Linked DNA regions of Astyanax mexicanus. The protein of the gene in region 4 purifies or fractionates together with the protein of the main gene of each other region. This does not show direct contact. Links are inferred from orthologs where the notes say so. Each region holds a gene or a part of one and is shown on either strand. Other genes may lie near its edges. The genes, in order: tssc4, bcas2, znhit2 and eftud2.

Region 1 (7,947 bases), on a different chromosome or scaffold from region 4:
CTGGGGTTGAAGACTCACAGATTCTGCGAGATTTCCTGCTCGGAAAAGATTATCACTTTCTGGGAAGAGCCATCGAGTCTCAGCACAGCCATAGTGTTGAGTTGTGAGCCAGTTCTTGGATGTGAGGATACGATGCAGACACTACCTAAGATATGAAGGTAACAAAAAAAAAAAAAAAAAAAAAAAACACATTTAAAGGATTAGTTAACCACTTTGAATAAAACCCCTAAAGTATCCAAGTAGTAAAATTATATTTAGAAACTAAAAAAAAAAAAAAAAGTTGAAAAATTGATTCTATCCTATGCCCGATACAGTGATATAGCCTTTCAGGATATTAACATAGACTCCTACCGGTGTTCTGCCGAGTTGTGCTACTCTGTGAAAAGGTGCTACCTTAGTTTATACTTATTTTTATATTAGGATAAAATACCAGAAAGGCACAGTTTTTTGAAAAGCTCCCAGCAGAAGTTTTGGTAGGATATTTGTAGGGCTGGACCCGAATATTCGGGTATTCGGATATTCGTTCGTTGAGTAGGTATTCGGTTTTTAATTTTGGTATTCGGATATTCGTTTTTTTTCTCCTTTCCAGAGTTCCACCTCACTCTAACCACTTCTGTTTTCGCGGGTCCCGTCAGAATATCTTGCGCGCGGGACAGAACTGAACTGTTATTGGCTGGAGCGGGAGTTTAATCCAGACGATGCGGGAGCAAATTAATAAATAGTTAAGAAAACTGTAATAATTGTAAAAAAAAAAAAAAACCTAAAGAAAACTCTCAACGCGCAGGATGGACCGACACACACACGCACACACCGATGGTGTTTGGACTGGGGTAAGGAACGGGACCGCACTATGTGGCGGGCGGGCGCGGGATTAAAAGAAGCAATTTTTTTGCGGAGCGGTAACGAGACAGAAACGCGGGAGCGTGGAAGAGTGGGTTTAAAAATCAGTCTCGCGCAGACCTCTATTATACATGATAAAAAAAAATGCAGGCTCTTCGAAACTGATTTATATAATAAAACGTAAGGGGTAATGTGGCAACAGTAGGGGCTAAATCGGTTACAAAAGCCTGGCCTACAAAAATGATGTCTGAACGAATTTCCTCTTATCTAATATAATTTAAAATGGTTTAAAAATATAAAATAATTTCTAAGCAAACGAAATATTTAATATTGAGCTTATAGCCCAAGTGCAAAAATACAAAATCAGTAATACGGCTATGCCCTGCACAATGCTTAAACCGAAATAGACCAAGTACAATAACGTCATTAACAATGACTTTCCTCTACTCTAATATAATTTAACATGGTTTAAAATATAAAATAATTTCTAAACAAACGAAATATTTAATATTGAGCTTATAGCCCAAGTGCAAAAATACAAAATCAGTAATATGCCCTGCACAATCCTTTAACCGAAATAGACCAAGTACAGTTTACAATGACTGTCCTCTAATATAATTACCAATGTTTAAGAATATAAAATACTTCCTGAACAAACGTTTTTTTTGTTTGTTTTTTTAAGCAAATAGCCTAAGTGTGAAAACACAAACAGCAATTTACTGGGCTGGCTTGCACAGCGGAGAAACCGTGCAGCAGCCTCCTAGCCTGCTTACGCAGCGGATAAGCCGCGTGTGGGGCAGCAGAAATTCCGGGATGAAAACACAAAGAAATCTGAGCTAAAAACACAGAAAAAATATGGGGGATAAAAACACCAAAAATCCGGGGTGAATATGTCTCGTCGGTCAGAGCAAATTGAACATTTTTCAGTGGATTAAAGGGGCCGTGATTTGCTTTTTTTTTATTTATTTTTTTTTACCTCTTTTTTTAAAAACGAATATTCGAATATTCGCTTCGAATCAGTGCCGAATATCCGGAGCTCAAAAAAACGCTATTCGGGCCAGCCCTAGATATTTGGAATGCCTGAAGGGAACAGTTAACAGGGAACAACAGTTTCTTTTTTTTGTTATTTATTTATTATTTCTGGTATTTTGTTAAAATACCAGAAAGGCACAGTTTTTTGAAAAGCTCCCAGCAGAAGTTTTGGTAGGATATTTGGAATGCCTGAAGGGAACAGTTAACAGGGAACAACAGTTTCTTTTTTTGTTATTTATTGTCTCATTATTACTTGTATGATTAACTTTATTAGCTTTATTATTAACTTTACACGTGTGTAACACTCTGGCAGCTGGTTCTGCTTATTAAATGCGACAAAGTAAAACAGATTTAACATAAAAACACAAAAAAAGAAAACTATTTTTAAAAATGTGGGCATACGCATGCGCAATGGTTGTAAGAAGCACAAATTGGTTGGTAGCACATCTCGACAGAACACCGGGAGCATTTTTTAATGTGGTGTTTTTTTTTTTGCCTGTTAATATTCACTTGGGTAGCACGGTTTATCAGGGTAGCACAACGCGACACAACACCAGCTCTTTCCTAGTCAACAAAAACATCTAAGTTAACGTTACTTGTAGTTATCACTACAGCTATATTAAGGCAAATCTGAGGAAAACATTAAATGGAATAGAAAAAGGTATACGCTTAGTCAATACAAACACACAAAAACACAATTAAAATGGACAAGAAATGTCTATATCTAGTATTTAACGGCAGTAGGTTAGTTATCTAACCTGCTAACCTCACTATCCTTCACAGCATGTAAGTTACTTAGTTATCTGACTAAGCTAGCTAAGTTAGCTATGCTGGAGGCTAACAGCTAAGCTAGCTGTATGTATATATATCGATTTCTGGTATAATTCAGACCACTAATCTATGTCTTTCCAACTGCCGGACAGAACCAAGATAGCAACTTTACTCAGAGAGCAATAACTCAGCTATATAAAGGAGTTTAATCCCAATATAAGACGTTACTTTCTCCCATATCTAGCTCAGCAGCTACGCTTACCTTTCCTTCTTCGTGTCTTCAGATCAACTCACAGTCGCGTACTGACCTCTACTGGCCCACAACAGACACACCTGTGCATCTCAAAAGAATTAAATATCACTGAAAAGTTACCTTATTTCAGTATAAACATGTAAAATACTAATAGATAGATAGATAGATAGATAGATAGATAGATAGATAGATAGATAGATAGATAGATAGATAGATAGATAGATAGATAGATAGATAAGACTCAGACAAATCAAAACACAGAAGAATAGAAATTATATAAGGCTATAAAAACCTAACTATACAAGGTAAGGATCTATCTGTAAAAGGAGCAGTGCAGAGTAAAGTGCAATGTGCAATGACATTGATTACGAAAGTGACTGATGTGACGTAGAAATATATATATGCATCCGTTAGAAGATAGTTCTAAAAAAGAAAAAAAGAATGTGAAAATGTGAATACTCAATCATGAGTAAAGTGTACTTGAATGTAAGTGAGGTTGGGGAAGTGTTAGTGTAAATAATTAAGTGGTTGAATAATGTCCATGTGGTGTGACTGGATTAAACTCAGTCGGCAGCAGCATCCCGTCCCCGATGAGAGGAGTTAAAGAGTCTGATGGCTCTCGGAACGAAGGATTTTCTAAGTCTGTCTGTTGTGCAGCTCTGTGACAGCAGTCTGCCACTGAACACACTCCTCTGCTTCATGATGGTGGTGTGAAGTGGGTAACTATCATTGTTCATGATAGAAAGCAGTTTATCCAAAGTCCTTCTCTCAGCTATTGTAACCAGAGAGTCCAGCTCCATTCCAACCACTGCCCCGGCCCTCCTGACTAGCTTGTCCAACCGTGATGCATCTCTCCTCTTCATGTTGCCTCCCCAGCACACCACAGCATAGAAGAGAATACTGGCCACGATTGATTGGTAGAACATCTACAGAAGCTTCTTACAGATGTTAAAGGATGTTAATATATTATATAGATGTATTACACACAGAGTGATCTATTTTAAGAGGTTATTTTTATTTTTGAAGATTATGGCTTATAGCCAATAAAAACCCATTAATCAGTGTCTCAGAAAATTTGAATATTATATAAGACTAATTTGTACTTTTGTCAGCTAGGAAAGTGTGCTGGAAGTCCTGCTGGAAAATGAAATCCCCATCTTCATAAAATGTACGATTTTCTGAGGGGAAAAAGGCACTGACTTTAGACCAACACTAGCAGATGAGATGTCTCTCCAAACCATCACAGATCATCAGTAATTTTTACATTTCATTTGTAAATGAAATGTAAAAGCGAGCAGATTCTGGAGGAAGAGGGGAGAGACACACAGTGCAAGCTGCTTGAGGTCTAGTGTGAAGTTTCCACCAATCAGTGATGGTTTGGAGAGACATGTCATCTGCTGGTGTTGATCCACTGTGTTTTATCAAGTCAAAAGACCTTTCTTATATAAGATATATATTTATAAAAAAGGGTCTCAGAAAAGATCTAGGACCATTTTTGCCATCACTACTGGTCGGTCGGTACAGGGAGCGCCTCTGTCATGTACTGCGGGTTTCTATGCAGCAGGGGGAGACACTGCCCGTTCTTCACAGTCACTGGAGCTGTTGTTTGCCAGCTGTTCCAGCTGTTTAGTGAGATATCATTCCTTTAAGTCTTCATTAAAGAAAAGCCCTAGGCTGCTTTAGATTTGAGAGGGGATGTGAGCAGATGTGATGCAGAGGCTATAATGCTAAAGTGCTAAAGGGATGTGATCTGCAAGAGCATGTGCTTTTAAATTATCTATCACAGCTGGGTCACATGGGGTATAGGCTTCTCCACTGGTACTGTAAACACACCTGCCTAATTATAAATGCACACTGGTGAAAAAAAGTATAGTTTTACTGTATTTTCTTTGTGTATTTGTCTGAATAAATCTCTATATAAGTGAAATATATTAATTATTATTATTATTTTATTATTATTATTTTTTTTTTTCAATTTGTAGACAACAAATTCAATGTACAAGACTAACTGTAAAATATAAAAATATATTCCAAGATAAAATGCAGGAACATTTTTTTTGCTTTACTGTGATTTGCATGGAGAGAGCTAGGGAATATATTACTGTTACAGTATGTTACAGTATTGTCATTGAAATTACAGCCCAAAAATTTGCAGTTCAGTTTACTGGTTTGGAAACGTGTTATTCTGCCATGTTTGGAAATGCATGAAAGCATAGGTTTCATAGATTTTACCAAATTGAATACCTCTGGAATATAATAAAGAGGAAGATGGATGATCACAAGCCATCACACCAAGCTGAACTGCTTAAATTTTTGCATCAGGAGTGGCATGGAGTTATTTAAAAGCAGTGTGTAAAACTGGTGGAGGAGAACATACTGTGGCGTGGAAGAGGAAGGAAGACCCGTGAGACTCATGCTGAACGCTCAACAGCTCCTTTATTGAACCGGCTTGCCACTCACTTACAGCCTTTAACAAGACTAGGAGAGCTAAAACCATTTTCCCACAGAACTCAAATAGCCCAAAGGCCACCAACCCAGCTGTGTGTCTCCCAGATGGCAGATCCAGAGTGGTGCCCACCCTCTCTGCATAACCCCTCCCAAGGGAGATGCCCCACCCCTGTCATCCTTGCACACAGGAGAACAGAACCATGCCTACAGGCAGCCACACACACAACCCAGAGCCGCCACAATACCATGCATTAAAACAGTGATTAAAACCAGGGTTATTTCATCAAATATTGATTTCTGAACTTTAAAACTTACAAAACTTTATGTAAACGAACTTGTTTTCTTTGCATTATTTGAGGCCAAATATGGCAAATAAATGCTTTAAATGACAATATTTTTCATTGGAATTTGGGAGAAATGTTGTCTGTAGTTTATAGAATAAAACAACAATGTTCATTTTACTTAGACACATATCAGAGAAACTGATTCAGAAACTGAAGAGTTTCTAATTTTTTCAGAGCTGTATATGTAATTATGTAGTAAACAGTAAAACTGAAAAGTGTTTGGCCTCCACAATCCCATGATCTTAACCTGATAAGCTGAGACGGAGATTTGGGATAAAAATACAATAGAGATCACAGCAATGTATGTTTTTTTATTAATGATAAAAGAAAATATACATTGTATTTTATTACATACAAATATAATAATATACAGATATTTGTTATGCATATTTTATTATTTTGTGTAAAATCTTTGGCACATAATTTAACCTTCCATACACACACCTCCTCATACACACACACCTCCTCATATTTACACACACACGTATGCCGACGTAAAGTAGCTCCCCCCACTCCTCAGCCACTCCCCTTTAAGGCCAACATCGCTCCCTATTCTTCTGTATGAGCCACAATCCGGTCGCTGCTCGATCTCAGGAGGATTTCCTGCGCACAGCTGGAGGAGCTTTCAGCAGCTTCAGCATGGACTGAATGGATTGTAGGAATCTTTAAGGACTATAGGGAGCGCGTTCAACCCTTTATCAACCAGGAGAAGCCCTGGATCCAGTAACCCTGCCTTTTATCAGAGGAATATTCAGTGAAAATGAAGAGAATAACGGGGAAAACCAAAGATGCCACTCTGATCGAGATGACCAACACGGCGGACGCGCATGTAGAAGGTAAACCCTGCTTTACCAAACACCCTTCTACATAATAATAAACCCCGGCTCTGATACACTGATTTACACCAGTCTGAGCGGAGAGAATGGACTGGCTCGTGTGAGAGAGACGCTTTGTGGTGAAAACAGACAGTCTCCTGTATTTATGACACGTTTAATTAGATTAAATGACCTCCTGTGGTTAGATTAAGCAATAGACTGGACTACAGTAAGGCTGGTTTTGGTTAGAAGCCCACTAAAACTAAGATAGAAAGCTAGCTAGCTAGATAGATAGATAGATAGCTTTAAATACCTTAAATACCTGTACATCGTGCTAGGCTAGCTCACAAGCTTAAACAGTGTCTGAAAGTTCAGTCTGTTAGTTTGTGGTTAAACTCTCTGGATAGGGGTTTCCTACCTTTTCATCTCATTGTTTTGAATGAAATGGCTTTCAGTGCTTTTTATTTAAACCTCTTTACACTCTGTTGTTCTCCAGGTTTGCTTGTTTGTTGTACTTGTTGGTGTTGGTTTTGTATTTTTAACACAAACATGTAGATATCTGATGTGTTTTTTTTTTGGTCAAACTATTATAAAATGCTAATAGAATCATATTAATGATCATATTTATAAGATAAAGACATTCAAAACATGTTTAGTTTCCTACCATTTGAACTTTGAACTGGGTTTTTCATGTAACACTAGAATTCTGCAGACTAGCATTAAACCTCTTTACACACTGTTGTTCTCCAGGTTTACTTGTTGTGCTAGTTTGTTGTGATTTTGTATTTTTAACACAAACATGTAGACATCTAATGTGTTAATATGGTCATAAATAGAGTAAAATACTAATAGAATCATGTTAATAATCATGTTTATAAGATAAAGACATTAAGTTTACGCAAATTATGTAGATATTAAAGTGTTTTGTTAATATTTTCCCAACCGCTTATTATTTGAAACATGTTTAGTTTTCTACCATTTGAACTTATTTGGGTTTTTATTTAACACTAGGATTCTGCAGACTAGCATTAAACGTCTTTTCACTGTTGTTCTCTAGGTTTACTTGTTTATTGTACTTGTTTGTTGTTGTTTTCTCTTGTTTACACCAACATGTAGATATCTGAAGTGGTTTTATGGTCTAAATATTATAAAATGCTGAAAGATATTAAAGTATTTTATCAATATTTTCCCATTTACTTAACATTTAAACATTTTTAGTGTCCTACCGTTTAAATTTGGTGGGTTTGATGAAATAGCTTTTCATATTTTTAATTTTAGGACTGAGCCAGGTTAGCTCACAATCCCTTACAGTGTCTGAAAGTAACAGTAGTCTGGTAGTTTGTGGCTAAACTCTCTGAGGAGGGGTTTCCTACCTTTTGATCTCATTGTTTTGAATGAAATATCTTTTAGTACCTTTCATTTAACACTAGGCTTCTGCAAACTA
Region 2 (7,183 bases), on a different chromosome or scaffold from region 4:
CCATATAATCCCCAGAGAAAAGCACTGCAGCACAACACTGTGTATTAATTATAGTTTACAGTTTATTAAACACTATATAAACAAACAGTGTTTTAATAAACATATATGTGCACTTTTAAAGCTCTCATTGCCTCATTTTAAATGTAGAGCCCTCAGAATTCTATCAGTGAAGTGTGGAGCTACTTTGATCTTGGTTAAGGTTGTAAATAGTGATTTTTTTTTTTTGCACAGGCAGATGCTATGCCCCTATTCCTAGCATTGTGACCCTGGTGGGAGCATCTGCAAAAAGTGCTTTATTTCTCAATGCTGGGGATGATTGGAGGAAACCTATTTCATGCCAGATTCCTCATTAAATTTGCTTGAAATTTTATTTAGAATTAGAAATATCTGCTACATTTGAAATAAAAATAAAATATTTAAATAAAAATACAGAACAGAGATGGTATAAATTAGAAGATCAGAAACTGGATAAAATAAAAAAAAAAAGAGTTCATGCAACTACCAATATGGCATCTGTTTACAGATAAAGTCCCGCCCATCATTTTACTGGTTGGTGAAAAAGCTACCAAACATAAAAAAAAAAAAAAAAAAAAGCTATAAAACATTTTTTTGTGCATTATTATACCAAACGCTAGAAACTATTAATGAGATTTCTCTAATGCAATTTTTAATATATATTTATTTTTACCATTAAGTTGAGTATTTTAGTCTCTCCCCACTTATCCAGATCCAGTACCATTTTAAAGAAGATGGCCACCAAGTTAAACAGACTTTTCTATTAAAGATCATTTGTTCACACACACCAACAGTTACTTACCGAACCTTCTGCAGTTCCTTTTGTGCATTTTCAATCATGAAAGCCAAATTACTGTTAAACAGAAATAAGAGATGCAAATAAACATACAGTTTTACTTTATAAAAAAAAAACACAATAATTAAAACTAAAAGTCAAAAGCTACTACAGTTTAATACGTACTCATTAGAAAACTTCCAGGCGTTGGTTCCGTACTCGGCCATCAGATCAAGGTTTTCTATTCGCACGGCCTGATGCTCCAGCTGGGCCATCGAGTTATTCACACAATCCTGCCACGCTGTGATGTCATTCTTCTGTCCGGATGAGGGGGCTGGAAGCTCGTATCTGAAGTTACGTACATTAGGAGGCAGTGAGCCACAAAACTCAATAATAGCTGTGTTTCTGTTTTCATTTCTGCCTTTGCAGCGCCCCCTCAGGTTCAACTGTGCTACAGGCGAGAATTCCTCCTGCCCCACACCCCTAAACCCATACATCACCCAGTCCCTCTTTCGCAAACTACTCCTCCCTTTTTTTAAAAAGCCTTTTTATTAAATTTGAGAAGCAAAAGTTCACATACTTTTACCACTTACAAATAAGTATTAGTGAATAGTTTTTCTCAATAAAGATAAGAGAAAGTACTTTTTTCAGCTGTTTTTTGTATCAACTGAAGTTAAGAATTATTTTATAATAAATCTTTGGCACATTATCCAGCCCTATTTCAAAAATACCAATATATTTCACACAATATACTAAACCCACTGGTCTTTGTATCTGTTATTCAGGATCTCCTACCTCTTCATGCTGAGCAGCTCCATAGGTTGGCGAGCACCAAGCCTCTCAAACTCGTTCCTCATTATCTCAGTCTTTGGGTGCAGGAAAAAAAAAAATAAATAAAAATAATAACACTACTGAACATCTTATATCAATCAATCGATCGATCAATCAATTATGGATAATATTACTGAACACACAACCAGGTGAGTCACAGCCAAACTAGAATCTGTGAATAGAAACAGGATCAGGATCTATTTACCTCAAACGCAGAGAAATCAGGTGTTGGCAGGTAACTCAGGTAATTCTTTGTAGGCCGGTATCGCCGGGTCTCCTCCTCCACCAAGGCTGCAGCCTGGAAACAGAACATGTTCATCAGTTATAGAAGGATATAGTGTTATTGACTGTACAGGCTGTTATAATTTTTAGTAAATTAATCACAATTGCTGTTTTATTAGTACTTGTTTTTACTTTATAGGGGTGCAAAACTAGCATTTAATCTGTTATTTATTGTGGAATAATATGCAGCCTCGTTGATCTGGCTGTGTTAAACTTGGTACTACAATTCCCAGCATGCACTCACTGGAAATCCAACATAGAAAAATAAAGAAATACATTGATATTCAATCTATGATTTAAATCTTGAAAAATACCGTGATATATGATATATGATCATACCGCCCACCACTACAGCGTATATACAGAGTATATAACCGGTGGTTTAGAGGCTGTAACTCGGCTTTAGGAAGCGCAGCTCAGGCCGGTGTTCTGTCGAATTGTGCAACCATATCAAATCCTGCTACCCAAGTGTATATTTAACAGAAAATCCGTATTAGAGCTTGTTTTCAGTAGAAATTCCAGTAGATGTAGATTTAGTATATTTGAATAGCATAAATCACTTTATTATAATAAAGTTAAGGCAATGGGAGGTTATTATAAACTGGCTACTGTATTTATTATTATTAATTTTCGTTTACACTTTTATGAAATGAGTCAGTTCGTGTTGTTTAAAACACAAAAGACACGACAAAAACAGATTTATTATAATAAAAAACAGGAAAATTTATAATAACTCTAGGTCAGCGCATGCGCACTGCCTTTGGAAAGCAGGTATCGGCGAGTAGCGTAACTGGACGCAACACCGGGCTGTTGTTTAGGAGGGAGAACACGCTGCGTCTCCTCTAAACTCACAGATCCGCAGCCTGAATTAAACTAAACTAAACAGCCCCGGGTCTCCGTTACCGCCCCGCCCGGTACTCACCGCCTCCCGGACTCCCGGAGCGTCATAACCCTGATCAAAATACGGCAGCGCGTCCACGAACACCTCACCGGCTACCGACGAGGTTCCAGCCATGTTTCTCCCGCAGCGGCTCCAGCAGCAGCAGCGCGCAGCCGCCCGCCTGAGCCCTTCACCCCGCAGCGGAACCAGCGCCGCCCGCAGGCCTGGAGGAAAAACACCCATCCCAGCCAGAATATACCCTTCAACCTGAACCACAGAATCTCTTACAGAGAATTTCACTTAATATAAATGTTTTCTTTATTTTGGACAAGTTTTTATTCATACTTCTAAATTTACTAAAAAAAAAAATATTTTTTTACATGCTACTAGAATAAAATTCAACTGTATATCAAGTCCCAATTAATGAAATCTGAAAATGCGAAAAAAAAAAAAACTTTTTAAATTAAAAGAAAATTACCCCACTCATTTACATTATATTCAGGGTATTTAGCAGAAGCCCGTTTTTTACTTCAAAATATCCATAGCTAGTTTGTAGATATTAGAATCCAGAGATACACCAAGCTTTGATAATATTTATAATATTTAGACCCCCCATTGATGCTTTATTCTGTGAACTACAGACAACATTTATCCCAAATTCCATATAAAATATTGTCATTTAGAGCATTTATTTGCAGAAAATGATAAATGGCTGAAATACCAAAAAAGATTAAGAGCTTTCAGACCTCAAATAATGCAAAGAAAGTTCATATTTATAAAGTTTTAAGAGTTCAGAAATCAATATTTGGTGGAATAACCCTCGTTTTTAATCACAGTTTTTTTCATGCATCTTGACATCATGTTCTCCTCCTCCACCAGTCTTACACACTGCTTTTGGATAACTTTATGCTGCTTTACTCCTGGTGCAGAAATTCAAGCAGGTTTTCAATTTGGTAAAATCAAAGAAACGTATCATTTTTAAGTGCTCTCTTATTTTGTCAGTTTTATATTGTCTGTTTATTTTCAATAATTGTTTTATATAACAGTTCATTTATGATTAATTTTGTTCAGGAAAAAGAGAACAAAATATATAAATTTTGCCACCAGAGGGCGCTGACTGTACTTCCAGCATCATCATCTCACCAACCAATCAGCTCACAGTAGCAGTAATGCTCTTTGCTTTTTAAATACAATACTTTTCTACTGTCCTAAAATAAAGGAATATCCTGGAAAAGGGGTTAGTAACTATTTCTAATTTGAGTTTTTAGCCGTTTAGCTCCATTCACCCCCATATATTTGAGACTCTCTCGCGGGCTCCCTCTAGTGGTGTGCAGACAGGGAGTGGGCAGCCTCTCAGGTTTATGAGGATCCTGCCCTTATCATAAACTTTATACCAGGTTTTATATGAATAAACTTAAATTTTCAGGTAAAAAAACATATATTTTTTTGACTTTAAAAAAAGAGATGGAACACTATATTGAACTAACACCGCCCTTTTATAATCAATATATTCACCATTTTACAGTTATTTTACAATATTTTACTTATAAATGTTTACATATAATTAAGCACCATATATATACACAATTATAGTTTGTTTTAAAGCATTATTAACAGTACTGGATTCTTTAATATATTATTTCTTTCATATTATGTATCACCCATAGTTTATTTCTTCTTTTTAAAGGATTAATTGCTTATACATATTGCGTAGTTGTTTAGTTTTTTTAGTCAGCAGAATTACCAAGTCCATAAAGCTAGCTGGAAATTCTACAATTTGTGGCTTTAAAAATGTTAAATGCTAACGTTCTGTCTTTTCAATCAATATTTTTTAAATGTTAAATTAGAACTATTCTCTTAAACCATTGCTAAATTTTATACAGCAATAACAACAGCAATATGTTTTTGTGTTCCCTGAAAATCTGAGTTTAGGAAAGGTTTATTCACTACATAGGGAGCAAGTAATTGATTTGAGACACAGCCAGTGCTCGCGCATATGAAATGTTAATTACAATGCCTGAAGCCCTTACTTGCCAGTTTTGATTTGCCAGCTTTTCCAAAGCCTTTATCACACGTAAATCAGGCATTTACAGGAACTTCTGCATCAGCAAAAAGCTCCCACACACCAAATGACTAAATGATTACAGGAGGTTTTATATGAAAGCATTTAATTTGAAAAAGTCACAAAAGACAAAAAAAAAGCTCCTTGGTTATACAAAACACACATATAAAACTGTACAAAATGTCAAATATAAAAGCATTTTGAAATATGTCGTCGCAGACATTATACAACACAAACTTTTAGTTTGTTAAAAAGAAAAATAAGATAAAAGGATAATTAGAGACTTTTAAAAATCTATCGAGAAGCATAATCAGTGTGCCTCAGAGGAATTATAAATATACACAACTTCTGCAGGAGATGAGAAGCACCTCCTCATCTCAATCATTTATATTTATCTCTAAAAATAATACTTTCCAGTTTGGAAAGCAGTTGGGAGTAAAGAACGAGGAGTAAAATATAGAAAAAATGTAAAATAAAAATGTCCTGTTTTTTGAGAGTCACAGAAAAGACGAAGAAAGATCAGATCAGATCAGATCAGATCAGGGTTAGTGTGAAGAGAACTACTTCATTAGCTCACAGATCGACACAATCCGGCACAAACGACACGAATCCAAAGCTTTCTGCTTTACACAACAGTAACATGACACACACTCCTCCTCCTCCTCCCTTTCCTCCCGCTCTAATTCAGTCCTTCTTTGTTGCTTGTTTACAAAAGTCCATTTCCAGTTTTTCAACCGATTGAAATTGCACAGGCGCTCCCAGCAGGAGCGTTTTCAGGGCTCGACCTCTCGTCTCTCTCGTCTCTCCGCCCCTCTGATCGCTTCTTTTTCTCAGAGGAACGGGATCGCCGCAGCCTGATCGCTGAATCACAGCCTCCTGCGCCGGGTTTCGTCACTCGGCGCTCGACGCCGGCCTCCTTCTGCGTTAGGCAATCCCTCACTTCTTCTGCAAGAACTTCATTTTGTTCCCTAAAACACAGCAAACTGTCACACAGGGAGGAAAGAGGGGGAAATAATGCTTCCTTTTTTGGTGGAGGTGAAGACGCTATCTTACCGAGTCCCTTCAGGAATTTGTTGACTCCGCTGGGTTCGGGTTCGGGGCAGGAGGCGAGGTATTCTGCTGCTCTGACCTCAAACAGGCCTGTTAGAAACCCATAAACACATTAAACTAAAACACATTCAACTAAAAAAAAAAAAAAAAAAAGAACTCATGGAGACGTCTGACTCACAGACGTCTCCATGACCATATATATATATATATATATGTGCTGGGTTAGTAATGAAGATAAAACTAAACTAGCTCCTTAAGACCTTAAGAACACACCCAGGACCAATTCTTGGCTTGTTTGTGCTGCTTGCTGGTTTGTTTTCACACACAAGAACTTTTTTTCCCCAAACCCTGGATCACTCACTCACCCTTGACGCCCCCTTTGCGGAGTTCTCGGTCCTGGATGAAGCCAGCGAACATCTGTGTGTCCATGAAGAGCTGGAGGAACTGGCGGACCCTGCGGGACGGATGAGACTTCCTGAACGTGTCTCTGTTCAGCTCGCGGACGCCGCTGCTCGTCCCCGTCTCGCCAATGTGCAGAGAATAATGTCCCACCAGCTCCACGAAGAAACGCACAAACGCCTCCGACACCAGAGCACTCAGATCACACTCCACTGCAGGGAGAGAACAACAGGTTTAGGAAAAAACGGCAAAAAAAAATAATTTAAAACTAATTTAATCAATTTAAACTTTTTAAATTCAAAATTTATACAAATGTTAAAGACCTCAAGGGTTTTATAATGGAAAAAATCTCATTCTACACATAAAATAAAAATAAATAAATAAATAAATGGGAGAAAGAGGCAATTTATTATTTCAGAAGAGAAGAGGCTCAAAATATGTGATTTTCAACAAGTCCTATATATGCTGTGAATTTGGATAGAAAAGCTTGGTTCGTTTTTTTAATGACTCCACAACAAAAGATACATTTTACAGATCATTTTATTTGTCAACTAAGCTAATGATTATTAGTCAACGAATATTTCTGCCATGTCCTCCACCTCTAAAAACAATAGAAACAATAGAAACAGCTTAACATGAGATATTTAAAAGACATTTAATTCTCTAGATGTTGTTTAAACGTGGAAAGTACGGATATTTAGTGATTAAATATGTAATCTGTTGTGTTTGGGCACTTTTGGAGACCCATCTCCTAATTGTTGCAGACCTATTTTACAAAAAATGCAGAAAATAAGAGCTGGAGACTATGTGGGAACCAAATGGCTGATCACTGGCATTTATTCTGGTAATATGCAGTAATGCAGGGTTATTGGCTAGAGGTTTATAAAGC
Region 3 (7,636 bases), on a different chromosome or scaffold from region 4:
GTCAAAGTATGACAATTAATAAAATGTGCAGGGCAGTGGCCCTTAAAGACCAGGATTGAAAAACAGTGTAATAAGCAATAGAATAGGCTCTATCAAAAGACCACAAATTAAACGGTGTCACTGAAATCGTTTCATACCTACACTGCAAAAATCTAAATATCAGCAATTGAAATGATATTTTACATTATTTAAGTAATTCAGAGCCCAAAACAAGCACATACGTTTTTTTTCATGATGGTGATTTATGATGACTGATTTATGAATTTAAGTGTAACGCAAACACCTAGATTTTATTGATTATTTTTAAAGAAAATTTACCAAGAAAAAAATAAGCAAAATGCTGTGCAAATGCTTTAACTAAAATTTAGACTTTTAGACTTAATTTAGACTAATTTAGACTTTAATAGAATGTAGATAAACAATAATAAACGAGAATATAGCAAAAAATATATATATATATTAATTAGACTGTTCCAGGAACTTATATACAGACACACATAAGTACACACACATCAGAAAAAAATGAATAATAAAAAATATAATTATACCAGAATGTGATATAGAATATAAAAGAGATATATGAGTGTGATAACTGTGAGATTAGGCTAAATACACATGTAATGTGTGTGCAGACATGAACAAGGTCGTTACCTGTGTCCATATTAGTTATTAATTTAAAGTCATACTATTTTTGATATTTGATATTTTGTATTATGACACTGGAAATATTATATAATAGATTTGATGGTCAAATCTAGGGGAATTATCTCATAAGTCTTAAGTCGTCTCAAAAAAACTAAGATAAGACACAATGTATCACATTGCGGCACAGTTAAAAGCTCCACAGGACAGTTAAAAAGCTCTGCAGGACAGTTAAAACAGTTAAAAACCTCCGCGGTACAGTTAAAAAAAACTCCGCGGTACAGTTAAAAAACCTCCACGGTACAGTTAAAAACCTCCACGGTACAGATAAAAACCTCCACGGTACAGTTAAAAACCTCCACGGTACAGTTAAAAACCTCCACGGTACAGTTAAAGAGCTCTGCAGGACAGTAGGAGAGTGTCGCAAGACAGTAGGAGAGTGTCTCGGGACAGTAGGTGAGTGTCGCGAGACAGTAGGAGAGTGTCGCGGGACAGTAGGAGAGTGTCGCGGGACAGTAGGTGAGTGTCGCGGGACAGTAGGAGAGTGTCTCGGGACAGTAGGTGAGTGTCGCGGGACAGTAGGAGAGTGTCGCGGGACAGTAGGTGAGTGTCGCGGGACAGTAGGAGAGTGTCTCGGGACAGTAGGAGAGTGTCGCGGGACAGTAGCAACAGGACAGGGACAGTTTTTGCTCTTACTGCTGCTGTGAATAATTGGGACAGCAGTAGGATCCTCCTTTGAGGATTTTGTTTTTAAAGCTTCCACAAGGGTCAGCCATATGATTTATATGGAGTCCACCATGTTGTCAAAACTTCGAAGTGCAATTCTGAGCACACCTTCTGTCTTCGATTCAAATCTACAAAGTATTCCAAAGCTAAGGTTCAAGGTATGTTATTTTGTAAAATCTTCCTGTTCTATCATTTGTTCTTTTGTTTAGTTAAAAAATTTTTGTGTGTGAACAAATGAGAGTTATTTAATTAGTTAACTGAAACATAAATATTTTCTCTTTTTAAACAAAAGACGAACAATGAATGAACGGCCAGTTCCTGCAGGTAAATATACTGTAAATCTGTGCTGATCTCTCATTTAATAATAATTTAGCTAAGAATTAAGTACAGAAAACAAAGGAAGATCTATTGAATTCTTTAATCAAATACAAAAGTTACAAACACTGCTCTACATCACCAGCCCAGACTCTTTGAATACTTTAATGATCATCTGTAAAGAGGAAGGATAATAAACTAAAATGTGATAGCCCAGAGTTTGACAGCCGGTTTAAACCCACCGCTAGCCTGCTAGTATACTGTGCCGATTCTGACATCTAAGATCAACATTGTTTTAATGCATTAGCGATGGAAAAATGTACTTTGATTCAATGTTCTTTTATTATCTAGCCATTTATTAATGAAGACTTTAGCTTTTAAACCTGTTTTTTTTTTCACTTTCAATCAATTAAATTACAATTATTATTTTAAATTAATTATTAATAAATAACTTAATAAACAAACTCACCGAAACAGATTCAATAACAATAAAGGCCAAAGTCTTTATCAGTTAATTCTGCGGCTAAAATTCTTCCGCATATACAAGACCCTCCTGTCTGTTTGAATGGAGAGAGACTGAAATATTCATTACCAAATCTAAGATACTCATTTGAACAACATATTTTAAATAACATGTTGATAAAATCCAACAAAAACCTCATGATTTGTAAGTTTGTAGCGTCTGGTTCCATAATGCACAAAACAAACGCCAGAGGGAGCCCGCGAGTGAGTCCTCAATGATCCGAGGTGAATGGAACTCAACGGCTAAAAACTCATTTTAGAAAGAAAACAGAAATATCCTGGACAAGTGGTGTTTTTGGTGAAGTAAAGACTTCACCTTTATTTACTATATAAATATGTGTATACGAGTTTAATAAAAAGTAACTAATCTGTGTCGTTTCGGTGTTTTCCCACCCGTATTCCAACATGTCTGGGTCTGTATGAAAACGGGTGAGAAATAAAATCCGCTCTCTCTCAGCGTGAGTCGGGAAAGATGGCGGCGTCCTTTAGAAGCGTGCTTATGACTTTGAGTCCGGGGTGTTCCTTTAGAAGAAGAATTGGCCTTCCAGTTAGATATGTGGTTAATGTTGGAGCCTGTGTGCAGGTGAGTTAGATTTTATAACTTACATGCATATTATGTTGTGTGGTTGTTGTGCCGCTTGTCCGGTAAAACTCGAGATCTGTTCTACCTTAAAATGTTCCTGCTGCAGCATTTAAGGTGGAACGGAAAATTCAAATAGAAAAATGTTTGTGTGCCTCGATAACCGATTGAGGACATTTTTAATTATTGATATAATATGATTTTACACGTAAAATCATATTAAGTGCTGAAACAAAGACCATGTGGATGAGTTTTCTTTAGGCTGGCAATCATTGTAGGTAGATCGATGTGATTTATATTTATTTATGTAATGAAAAAAGCGCTTATGGACATGTTCAGTGCCCTGGTTGTTCGGTTTCTCCATGTTCTCCGTTATGATTGTTTATCTGTTTTTCAGTCAGAGCACAGCAATGTTGGTGGAAAGGGAAAAGTAGTTGAATCTACAGAGGAGTATAAATTCGTGGAGAGGCTGATTCCCCCGACACGGGTCCCTACCCCACCTAAACATGAAGGGCCTACACCATCAGGATGGACCCCTCCATCAGGTAAAGCGGTGTGTCCTGGTGGTCGGTACAGTTGTGGCAGAGTGACTAGTTGATTGGCATGACTGGAATGATAAAACAATCCATATAGTGATGCTCTGTCTTGAAACAGGTTATTTTGTATCTATTTTAATATTTACTTCGAAATTTTACTAGAATTTTTGTATAATTGCAGTTTAGTGCAATATATATCCACTAAATGTTCTGTAATGTAGTATTTTGGTACCTTTTTTGTTACATAAATTGAGTTTTGTTGTTAAACAAAAATACTAAATTTACACGTTTGTAAAACGAATTTTTGAAATTAGTTAAATATTTTTTAATTGTTTTGTTATTGTCAAGAGTATTGTCATTGCAATAATACACAGAATATCATGATATTATTTTATAACAGTCTTGATTGAGCTGTACTATCAGTGTGACCAGCTTGAATAGCAAGATAAAGCTAGAGAAAGCTTTTTCACTTTAGTACTCAAACTTTAGTATGATCAGCTTGATCAAAGTGGGGAAAAAACAACTTGGACAGTTAGCAGCTGCTCTTCATCTGGGGGGTTCAGTGTAGACAAAGGTTAACATTGCACACAACAATTAAAATATGTCTTTTCTTTTTTTTTGTTTAAAAAAGAGACACCACCAAATCTGCCATACATGATCCGACGCTCCAGAATGCACAATGTTCCTGTCTACTCAGATATCAAACATGGAAACCAGAAGAGCACTATTGTACGAAAAGTGGAAGGAGACATCTGGGTGAGTTAAGTGTGTATATTTTGTCCTCCATGCTCCAATTAAAGGGTCATAATGATTTTTTTCTGTCAACCTCTTTATTCCTTATAAATAAACTAATTGTTTTTTTAACCTTACTCTATGGAGTTCTGATTTGCTGCCTTAAAGGTAGGGATGCTATCCCCCTCTATGCCGAAAGCTTTTGTTTATGAGCTCAGTTTGTTTTTCAGGCTTTGGATAAAGATGTAAAGAAGTATCTGCAGCAGCTGACTGGCAGAGAGCCACCAACACAAGTTAATGAAGTCACCGGGAGCATTCGCATTAAAGGGGAGTTTGACACAGAGCTGAAGGAGTGGCTGGTGAAAAAGGGGTTTTAAAGTGCTGAAAATCTGCAATGTTGTGTTTACTGGTAATTTAGGATGGACAAAAAAATGGCTAAAACTGTATGAGGAGAATTCCGACATGTTTATTACTTGCAGTGCCACATTTAACAATGTAAATATATATATTTTAATGAAATCTGGATGCTGAGGTGCATTAAATCTGATTAGAGTTAATTATGCTCATTAAGTGCTGACCGTATCAGCCATTTAGTCAGTAATGTTTATTGTGGTTCACTTCTCACAGTAATTGCACTGTCCACCCCTACAGTTAATACCAGCTGATCTGCCAGTGGAGCAAAGGTGAATATTTCTCACTTGTTTTTGTAATGTATTTCTTGTCTGAAATGTGTAAATAAATTAAAACTTGAAATAAAGATAAAAAAAACTTGTGTATTATTATTAACTGTGCTTGATGTGATTAAGCTATACTTATTAATTGTATATAATACAACAAACAAATATGCAAACATGTAATTACTATTATAATCATGTATTTTAGTATTAGAGGCATATCAGTAAATAATTAAATATTGACTGTAGAAAGTGGATTATTAACTGAATGTATACTTAGAGAAGGCTGGTTTATTTACTGTTTGCCGTTACGGCTGCGTAAATGTAACGCCGCATGAAGCTCGTGAAGGCAGCGCGTTTTGTGTACGTCATCATCGCGAGCCTTTCGCCCGGGAGCAGAAGCAGCGCGTGAGTGATAAACAATAAACTGTACAATTCCTGTATTAAAGGCGGAATACTGCTGTTTGTAGTGGAACGTGGTGGTGAAGTAAAGCAAAAATATGGGTGGCTTCAATTGGTCTCAGACTTGTCTGGTATCTTAAATGCCGATTATGGTAGAATGGACAATTTCAGAGATAACATTAGCTAAAATGAAACGAGAGTAAGAGAGACTACAGAACAATTGTTAACAAATAAACGTTACAGATTTTATTTGTGCTTCCACTGTAAATCTAATTTTGATTTGTTGTATTCTTGATATGTTGACCCTTTGGTTAAATGATTTATTGAGGGTCTTGAGAGTAAATTCAGTGTTTCCGCATTAGCACGTAGTTGTGAAGTGAAGTAAAAACAATACATCTTGTCAATACTTGTAGGATTATCTTTCGCTGCAAATTACAGCTGCAGGTCTTTTGCGCGTCTAGTGACTTTTTTTTTTGCTTTTCTTTGCAAAACCGTTCAAGCTCAGCCAGGTGGATAGAGAGCGTATGTGAACAGGACGTTTCATGTATTGCCACAGATGCTCAATAGGATTAAGGTCAGGACTTTTTGGCCGTTCTAACAGATAACTATTGTTTGATCTGAACCATTGCACTGAAACTCTGGCTGTATTGTAAGGCTAGAATGTTTTTTGGAGAATTGTTCTGTATTTCTCATAGAGGCTTTCTTTAAAAAAAACTTTTTCATAAAGACCAGATTGGAGTAAACAACCAATAGTTGTTTTGTGCACAGATTTTTTCCAACTTCTCTGTGAATCTCCGCAGTTTCACCAGAGTGACCATAGGTCTCTTAGCTGCTTCTCCTTGTGTGAGCTGTTGGGTCCTTCTGTTTTTGCATGATTGATTGAACAGTGCTCCGTTAGACCTGTAAACATGTTATTAATCTGCAAATCACAAAGACAAAAAAAAAACAACAACTATTAAGGCACTGTCCACATTTAGCCTCATTCTGAACAGACATCACTGACTCACTGTGATGTTCGCATATTCATAAAACTGAACTTACCCTGTCCACACACCCCCACTGATGGTGAAGTTTCAAAATCTCCACTTTGAAAGGCATTTTCTAAAAGCACCGTTTTCATTGACCTGAAAACTAACGAAGGCAATTATAAAATCCAAACGTTTGTGGGTGTAATAATTAAATGATTAATAATTAAGTGAACAAAGCTGCAATCAATTTTTAATGAAATGTGATGAGTTTGATTGAATGTTTTTGTAACTGTTTCTACTTTTTTGCAGGTAGTAGCTGCTGCAAGATAAGTGTATGATGGAAAAGATGATTAGAGGGAGAGTTCCTGCGAGTATGCAGACATTTATGATTGACATGACTCCAGAGAAGGAAGAGCTGAGAGACTGGGAAGAGGGGGAACCCGACCCTGTAACAGGACCCTTTCAGACTGCATCTGAAGCTCTGCTGAGTCCAGCTGGAACAGACATGGTGGCCTCCAGACTTTGCGGACTCTGCTTATCCAAATCCTGTTGCTACACCTGTCCCAGGTGTAATGTCCCGTACTGTGGACTCAGCTGCTACCGTGGCCCAGCTCATTCAGCGTGTTCGGAGGAGTTCTATAAGGAATTCGTGTCCGAGGAGTTGAAGTGCTCTGATGTCACAGGGGACGAAGGGCGAGCTCAGATGCAGGAGATCCTCCTGAGGCTGAAGAGCAGTGCTGCTGTGAGCGGGGGGCTGGAAAATGTGTTAAAATGTGAAAAGGAGGAGAGCAGGGAAGATGTGACAGAAAAAGATTTTGTGGCACTGGAGTTGCTGACCAGACTGGCAAAACTACAGGCCAGCGGAAAGGAGGAAAAGGAGGTTCAGGAAATACTGCAGAAACTAAAAAACATGGAAGAAGGTCCTCACAGTGAAGAAGAAGAAGAAGAAGAAGAAGAAGAAAAAGATGAGACTCTTGCATGTAAGCTTTCAGGGGTGAATATTAACTCTCTAACAGAAGAGGAGCTCTGGGATCTTCTGCCATCCCAGGACAAGGAGCAGTTTGAGCGCCTTGTGATGGCAGGAGGTATCGCAGGCTTGGTGCCACTGTGGAGGCCCTGGTGGGAAAGACATGAACAGACCACCAAATCATTTGTAGAGGAACTACAGTCAGAGAAGGATGAGGCACAACTGAGTGACCAGAAGGGAGGACAGGGTTTCACAGGTCAAAATGCAAATAAGGAAACACAGATGAACAATTTACAACCAGTTCAAACAGACCAGTGCCCACCCCAAGTCAGACAGGGTCTTAAAAAACAGAACGTTTTGTCCAAAAAAAAAGGCGGCCCAAACTCTGCTCCACTTATCAGTACTAAAATCCTGCCCCTTCACAAACTGTCCTCCAGCCACTCCCCTCTAGTCCAGTTCAGCATGGTCAACACCCTTTACGGCTATGCCTTTTCTCTTTGTCTGTTTAATGGAGACATTTCTGAGTCAGAGCAAATGCTGGACTTTTGCCGAACAGTTTTGGAGATTTCTGA
Region 4 (7,503 bases):
TTCAGCCCAGTCAGAGGTCCAGAGCACTTTGGATCAGGTTTTCATTAATCTCTGTACTATGTTTCATTCAGCTTTCACTCAACCCTGACCAGACTCTTATTGACCTAAATTGCAACAAGTGAGAACACCCCCCTTATTTTTGTAAATACCTAATTATATCTTTTCATGGGAATGATATGACACTTTGATACAAGGTATCAAAGAAACTGAGGGTAAAAATGCTCGACTGGCCAAGAAGGTGGAAGGTGAAGGAGCGCAAGGTCTCCAACATCCCCCAGCTCTGAAGTGATGCCATGGAGGAGCTCTGCGAGTTTGAAGGTATATCACTGTTTTTTTCTTTTCTTTTTTTGCACCTCGTATTCAGAATTTTAGGGAGTTTTAACACTTGTGCTGAATAAATGATTCTGCATTCAGGACTGTTTTTAGGCTTTTCTGGGCAATGAGAGGAACTTTTTCACAAGATGTGAATTGATTGTGTAACTCCATTTGTCTTTCTTCTGAGTGAATAATTGCTTTTTGATGTTGTTTTTCTATTTTACTTAGATAGAAACACTCATATTGCAACGAACAGCAACAGGAGCTCCTTAGATAAAGTTTGACTTCACAGGGCAGACCTACCATCGCACCAGTGCGTTAGATTGTGAAGCTAACTGGCTATCTTTAGCTAACAAGCTGTATCTGTTTCTTTGGCGGTGCTATTCTACACAGCTCCATAATGCCTCTAGCGGTATGGTGGTATGTAAAAAGTCCATATCAGTTTTCATTTTCCAGCACTACAAACTACTTTACATTGTAACAATGTATCATATATTCAGTGAAAAGGTATATTAAAATAGACTAAAAATGTGAGATATAAATATTACATATGTAATTCACATATTATATATATATATAACCTTTAACTATTCTCTGGAAAATATCCTGTACTTGACTAATACTTGATTCATACCCTTGATTTTAGAAGACACAATGAATGAGCAGATGCCCCAATACTAAATAAGTGTGACTGCAACAAAGACTTACTCCATGTCATAAACTGTAGCTGGCAACTCCTGCTCCATAAGAGTGAACTGCTTTGTTTTCACAGGTTTAATAATAGGCTCTATGTGAGAAGGAGAAAGAAACAGACAGACAGAGAGGGAAAGTAAGAGGGAGAACAGTTTTAGATGCAGCATCAGTGACTACAATTTTTATAACTAAGGTTTTACTGTTTTAAATACAAATTCTACACAACACATCACATTACAATCACATTTTTTTTTATTTGCTGATGTCAGAACATTTTAAAAGAAAGTAAAAAAATGAACCTCATATAGAAAAAAAAAAAAAAAAAAAAAAAAAAAAAAAAGTCCTTTACCAGTGAGAGGCTGGGTGTCCTCTTCCTGGACTATAGTCTCTACCTCCGGCCCGTACACTTCTTCTGCAGTAGGGTAGTACTTTTTATCCTCGTGAAGCACCACCTCCATCCCACCACCACCACCACCACCACCACCATCTTCATCCCCCTCCACCTGGTCATCATCATCGTCATCTTCATCTGCCTGCAGAAACCACACATTAAATTATACACACATTGCCAAAATAAAGGAAATACCAAGTTGGAACAGAAAGCAACTCAAACTCAAATCAAACTCGATGTGTGCTAAAATATTAAAAGCAACAAATACACAGATAAACAGCCCTGTAAATAGATTATTACGCACAAAGTTTATTTGAGCTGTTTACCTCATCTGCATCCCGGTCTTCTGCATCTACATCTTCATCTTCATCAGAGTCCAGCTCTGGCCCGATGTAGTTACCAAACTCATCATACAGATCCGTCTCCATGATGTTGCGGCCTTGTGCGATGGGGTGTCAACAGCACCTCTGGCAGCAATATTGAAAGAGAGAGATTAAATGAATACTCTTAGTGTGCAGATTACCAGCTACAATAAACACTTTGGTTTTATTGTTCTACTTTTATACTTGAAATCAAGTATAAAATCCTTTCAGCTTGGATCCAGAAGCTTATTTCAAATATAGTTAGCCTAACAAGGCTAATACACATCAAATCATAGAAATGAATGCATTTAATTAAATGAGTTACAAAAAGCAGCATTCTAAGTGAAAACAACCTTTGAACTGAGAAGGGAAAAAAAGAAGGCAAGGATCATCAAGCTACAAGATAATATCAGAATTAGAACTAATCCTACCACCTTACACCTAATGATTTTCAAGCAATTTCACAATTTCAATCTAATTTTAATCTAAAACAAAGGCAAATGTATAGCAGTGAAACTATGATTCTTTACAATACAAGGTTGTAGCAAAACACATCATGTATGCATGTATGTATGTGCGAGAGGGTGTCAGACTTCAGTCTGTTAAAAGTCTTTTCAGAGTCTTTTCAAAGTCGTGTAGTGTATGGACAGCATTAGGGATTTCGTGCATCCCATAATTTCTGCGACTTGCATCGTCACCACCCTGTCTTTGTATAAAACACACGAACCAGTGTTAAACTTCTGGGCTATTTAGCAGCCTAATTTACTAGTAAACACAACACAAGGGCGCCAATGGGAACACAGCCTTCAGCTAAGCTAAGCTAACTTAGCTATAGCAAGCAAACAACGCTCAGCTAGCCTAGCTAGTTTAAAAAAATACCCAAACCTCCCTCAATTTAACCGGCTTATAAAAAAAACTGTATGTACGAGGCTCTGCTCGAATTTGACCGGTCTATCTACACCGTTAAATCCAGGTAACGCAGCTCGTGCTCAGGCTCAGCCCATGTGAATGAATGGGTTCGGGTTTAATATCAGATCATCTAAAGCTTCTCCACTTGATTACGCTCAAATTCACACTCAGATCTCAAACGGACAGCATAGACTTTACCTGCGATTAACCGAAGCCTCTGTTTCACTCCGGAAACAGTACAATCCGCTTTATTTGTTCACTGATTTATTTATTTTTCCCTCGCACTGTTACCAGGCTGCACACCGCCGGGTCCTCGCACAACCGAAACGTAAGGCGAACGTTACTGACGTCGCGGCGAATACAGGTATCCCGTAATGTGCCTGAATTCAAATACAGCACATGTTTATTCGTGCAGCGGTTTTCTAAACATTAAACACAGCCGTGGATATAAAGAAACAACACGATTATACGGTCATACTGTGCGGTTTACACCAAGGTAAAGGGTTTAAGTGTTTAAGCGTTTCTAGCCGCTTACACAGAATCAGGCAAAAAGAGGCAAAAAACAGAATGCAAAGCTAAAATATTACATTGCAGTAACTTAAGAGGCCTGAAGAAGGCGCCCTTACACACCATTACACCAGCCCCGATATACAGCTCTGGAAAATATTAAGAGACCACTTCAGTTTCTGAATCAGTTTCTCTGATTGTGCTATTTATAGGTATATGTTTGAGTAAAGTGAACACTGTTGTTTTATTCTATAAACTACGGACAACATTTCTCCCAAATTCCAAATAAAGAGCATTAGAGCATTTATTTGCAGAAAATGAGAAATAGCTGAAATAACAAATAAGAGACAGAGCTTTCAGACCACAAATAATGCAAAGAAAGCAAGTTCATATTCAGTCAAGTTTTAAGAGTCCAGAAATCAATATTTGGTGGAATAACCCTGGTTTTTATTTACAGCTTTTAGCTTTTTTTTCTTTTACTAATACTTATTTTAATGAATAATTTTATCTTATGTTTTATCTTATTTTTTTGTGTGGATCTTGGCTCCGCCTACAGGTAAGGAGTGTATTTCAGGTTTTTCTCGATGCTGTTAATGCAGTTTTTTGTGCTTTAAATATGCATTTGTTGACAAGGTGAAAGAAACAGAACTAGCCTCTAAAGTGAAAATAGCATGTGGACTGAGGCGTTGGAGTAATATTACACGTTTTTAAGCTAAAATGTCTCAGGTTACAGCATTTTACAGTTCTCGCAAGAGTTACAAAGTGCAGTTAGCAGCATGCTAACCCTGGAGTGCTAATTACTGAAATAATATTCTGCCTAGTAAACAAGTCTGTGGAATATCAACTCTAAATCTGTACCTGTATTTCACATTGATTAAATGAAATTCCACCATTTGGATACTCTTTGGCAAGTGTTTAAAACACTTTTATTTGATAAAATAATGGCTAACACCAATGCCCTCCACATGGGCAGGCACATAAATATGAACATGAAAGCGTTTACTGTAAATGGTCGGCTACATTTTGACACTGGCTCCACTTCAGACACTTTAACACACTTAACTCACTCTTATTTACCCAATTGTCACCTACTGGATACTCGTGTATTTTAAGCACATGCTGTAAAGTGCTTTTTCAACAACAAGTGATTTTTCAAGTGGGAAAAAATAATGTTTTTTTATGCAGTGTCTACAGTGAATCTGTATCACCCCTGTAACACACTGTTCTGTAATAACTGATTCTATTATTGTATATTCTCTATTTATAATATGGGTCAGCAAAACAGACCTATAAAACATTGTAGGCATTTCTTTGAGGCCATTCATTTAAAATGAATGGAGAGTTCAGCCTAACACATACCTAGTAAATTGAATACATCTAAAAATAGCCGCAGAAATACAGGCCTACATGCAGCACACAGGCATGACCTGACCTGAGGTTTTTGGAATGACGACATGGAGAATCTTTTGAAGAGCAATGCAGGCAGATTTCATTTTTTATTTTACCCCAAAATCAATAAACTTTAAAGTCACCCGTCTTCAGAGAGAAAAAAATGAATTTGATCTTTAAAGAGTGTGTGTGTGTGTGTGTGTGTGTGTTGCTGTTGGAAGTGAGGTTGGTGGGAGGTTGAAGGAGAGACATCAAAAAACAGGCTTCAGACTATTTCAGATGCTTGTTCATGTATATAAAGGCTTTCAATGGACGTCTGAATTAACATATTTAATTAACACCAGATCAAAACTGAGAAAAGCCTGAAGATAAGACCGGAAAACTGTCAGTCAGGCAACAGACTGATAGAGAAACACTGACAGGGACAGACAGTGGCAGTGAAAGACAGACAGACAGAGACATGGACGTACAAACAGAAAGACGGGTTTAAGACATTGCCTTATAGGCAAAGAATTCCATCATTTTAACATATTTTACCTCCTAGGACCTGACATTTGCATGTGTGGACATCACATATTGGGTTGTCTAGACCACAACACTAAATTTTACTCTACAAGGGCCTGCTTTCCTCTTTTGAGACCATTATACTCCTCCTAGTGGTGGCAGAAGAGTTTAACACGTTACAGTTGTGATATTGTTCAGAAATTGAAAATGAACAGTAAATACAGTAAATGTTATGATTTTTACTTTATGTCTTTGTGTTGAAGCAGCACTTTAAATGAGCCATACTGCTCAAAGAGGCACAATTGATTCTACTTTGGTTTTGCACTTCTGGGCACAAAATAAATGTTTTGCACATCATTACTAAGTGCAACATTGTGTTCTATCCAAATATAAAACTAAAGTCCTCATATGTGGACATCTTTTATTTTTTATTTTTTCCAGAAACTCCATCATGCAAAGATAATTCTCTGTTTTTGCACTAATCTGGTGCCAATTAACCCGAATAAAAGAGACATAAAAAATGCTTGCCATGCAAGAGTTCGGGTCATGCTATTTGGTTTCTTTCCCAAAACAGATCCATGATTAATTAAAACAATTAACACATGCCTTTTCCACATTTTGAGCTGCAGAAGGCATACTTTTCCCGACGTTACGATAGCAAAGACACATTGACAAGCCCTAAATTAAGCTGCACAGTGTGCAATTGACGGCTTGCCAATACATCGCTAAAATAGGGCCGAAAGTGTTACCTCAGGGAATGGCTTCAGAATGCCCACACCTGTATAAACTGTGAGGATTTATCTGGTGATTGAGGCTTAACACTGTCCAGTGTACTTATGGCAAGGCAGCATGAGCAATGTCTGATGGTATATTGTTTAGTAATAAACACAGTATGTTATTTAAGCTAATTGTCTCAAAGTTCAGTCAGTGAACACAGTCTGAACACTATAAATAGCTTAGCAGATTGCTAAAAGCTAAGGGCTTCACATCATAAAATAAACATCACTCGACTGATATGACTGATGTCCCTGACATTTAACAGTCTGACTGGATTCTGACTTGAAAATCTGTTGAAATCTGTGGAAAATAGTTTTTTCTGCATATGGCTTCACTCCAAAGACCCATACAGATGCTTTTATTATAAATAATGTATGTAATAAAGGGGTGTTAGCTGTATCTACCAATGATGCTATGCTTATCTCTTATGCCTGGAGACAAGACAGAATGATCCTAACTGAATGAGAAAAGCAGTGTTATGCAATATGATTTAGGATTATCATTATAGTAATCAGTAGAGAAATGGAGACTGAGCACATATGCTTTTTACTCTAATTAGAAGAAGTGTATTAATTTACATTAGAACTGCACAACAAATGTGTACATTTTCAATCATTTATATAATGATGGCCTTTGTAATATTATGTAAATGATCATCTCATCAAAGTAGGCTACACTAAAAATGTTTAGTGTTCAAAAATGTGTTGTTTGCATCCTGACTAATTATTAAAGATGAAGCAAAGATTTCACTCATCATTTTGAAGATCTTTAAATTGTATTATTAATCAGCTATTTTTATTTTATTTTTTGTTGTATTTATTACTTTTATTTAGTAGTTGTCATTTTGTTTATTATTTAATCGATATATTTATTTTTGATTTTTTGTTATATATTCTTGTTCTCATGTTTTAAAATCTGTGTTTTTATCTGTTTTGTTTTATATACATTTATACATTTTTTGTTTACCTTATTTTCCCCTTATTTTATTTGTAATGTTATTCTACTGTAAGTCTTACGTTAGTTGTGCTCAAATTTGTTCTCTTTTTTATATTATTGTAAAATAAAATAATGTAATATTATTTTTATGTTCTCTTGCACTCCCTCTATCTTTTGTAAATGCTTTACCACTTCAGATTTAAAAAATCTAAATTTTGCAGCCTACAATGAGAATTTGCTACATTAGTACACTATTACAAATTAAAAAATGTGTTATTTTTAATCTAAAATGAATTAAGTTATATTGCAAATTTATAAATACAAGTAGTTTACTCCATTTATATGACCTAGGTGACCTAAGAAACTTTGACTTTGAGAGAGAGAGAGAGAGACAGACAGACTGACTGACAAGTAGACAGACAGACAGACAGACAGACAGAGAGAGAGAGAGAGAGAGAGAGAGAGAGAGAGAGAGAGAGAGATTCTCATAACGCCCATATATTTACATGGACTTCCAATAAATCTATGATTCCACTGGGTGGAATATCATCTCATGTCCTCATGCATCTCATGTTTATTTCCTGTGTGTGTGTGTGTGTGTGTGTGTGTGTGTGTGTGTGTGTTTGTGTGTGTGCACATTCTTTTGAGAGCGAGTGAGGGGTCTTCTTTACTGTGGGCTATGAAAGATTCACTTTCCCAGAGGCCCTGTACCAAACACCC

Evidence for each region.
Region 1: the proteins of eftud2 (region 4) and tssc4 purify together in Homo sapiens (affinity purification with mass spectrometry; 4 studies listed by BioGRID and IntAct, counting the BioPlex papers as one, with this or other methods). This does not show direct contact. The link is inferred for Astyanax mexicanus from reciprocal best matches to the Homo sapiens genes EFTUD2 and TSSC4.
Region 2: the proteins of eftud2 (region 4) and bcas2 purify together in Homo sapiens (affinity purification with mass spectrometry; 3 studies listed by BioGRID and IntAct, with this or other methods). This does not show direct contact. The link is inferred for Astyanax mexicanus from reciprocal best matches to the Homo sapiens genes EFTUD2 and BCAS2.
Region 3: the proteins of eftud2 (region 4) and znhit2 purify together in Homo sapiens (affinity purification with mass spectrometry; 4 studies listed by BioGRID and IntAct, with this or other methods). This does not show direct contact. The link is inferred for Astyanax mexicanus from reciprocal best matches to the Homo sapiens genes EFTUD2 and ZNHIT2.

The regions. Positions count from the first base shown.
Region 1 is NC_064430.1:8,174,769-8,182,715, reverse strand, and holds the start of tssc4 (protein TSSC4), read right to left. Parts: upstream 3,007-7,947; 5' UTR 2,906-3,006; intron 148-2,905; exon of another isoform or gene 146-147; 5' UTR 93-145; coding exon 19-92; exon of another isoform or gene 2-18; intron 1-1. Other genes in the region: anoctamin-5, read left to right, coding at 6,449-6,524. UniProt on the Homo sapiens protein: Protein associated with the U5 snRNP, during its maturation and its post-splicing recycling and which is required for spliceosomal tri-snRNP complex assembly in the nucleus.
Region 2 is NC_064419.1:2,129,350-2,136,532, reverse strand, and holds the start of bcas2 (pre-mRNA-splicing factor SPF27), read right to left. Parts: upstream 3,009-7,183; 5' UTR 2,919-3,008; coding exon 2,826-2,918; intron 1,920-2,825; coding exon 1,827-1,919; intron 1,657-1,826; coding exon 1,586-1,656; intron 1,139-1,585; coding exon 977-1,138; intron 869-976; coding exon 818-868; intron 1-817. Other genes in the region: dennd2c (DENN domain-containing protein 2C), read right to left, coding at 5,782-5,813, 5,899-5,985, 6,261-6,506. UniProt on the Homo sapiens protein: Required for pre-mRNA splicing as component of the activated spliceosome. Component of the PRP19-CDC5L complex that forms an integral part of the spliceosome and is required for activating pre-mRNA splicing.
Region 3 is NC_064427.1:14,889,960-14,897,595, reverse strand, and holds the start of znhit2 (zinc finger HIT domain-containing protein 2), read left to right. Parts: upstream 1-4,636; 5' UTR 4,637-4,736; exon of another isoform or gene 4,737-4,839; intron 4,840-5,045; exon of another isoform or gene 5,046-5,135; intron 5,136-5,150; exon of another isoform or gene 5,151-5,703; intron 5,704-6,406; 5' UTR 6,407-6,431; coding exon 6,432-7,636. Other genes in the region: mrpl49 (mitochondrial ribosomal protein L49), read left to right, coding at 2,678-2,788, 3,183-3,330, 3,953-4,077, 4,284-4,430. UniProt on the Homo sapiens protein: May act as a bridging factor mediating the interaction between the R2TP/Prefoldin-like (R2TP/PFDL) complex and U5 small nuclear ribonucleoprotein (U5 snRNP).
Region 4 is NC_064426.1:27,201,376-27,208,878, reverse strand, and holds the start of eftud2 (116 kDa U5 small nuclear ribonucleoprotein component), read right to left. Parts: upstream 3,014-7,503; 5' UTR 2,869-3,013; intron 1,867-2,868; 5' UTR 1,828-1,866; coding exon 1,726-1,827; intron 1,542-1,725; coding exon 1,358-1,541; intron 1,103-1,357; coding exon 1,024-1,102; intron 1-1,023. UniProt on the Homo sapiens protein: Required for pre-mRNA splicing as component of the spliceosome, including pre-catalytic, catalytic and post-catalytic spliceosomal complexes. Component of the U5 snRNP and the U4/U6-U5 tri-snRNP complex, a building block of the spliceosome.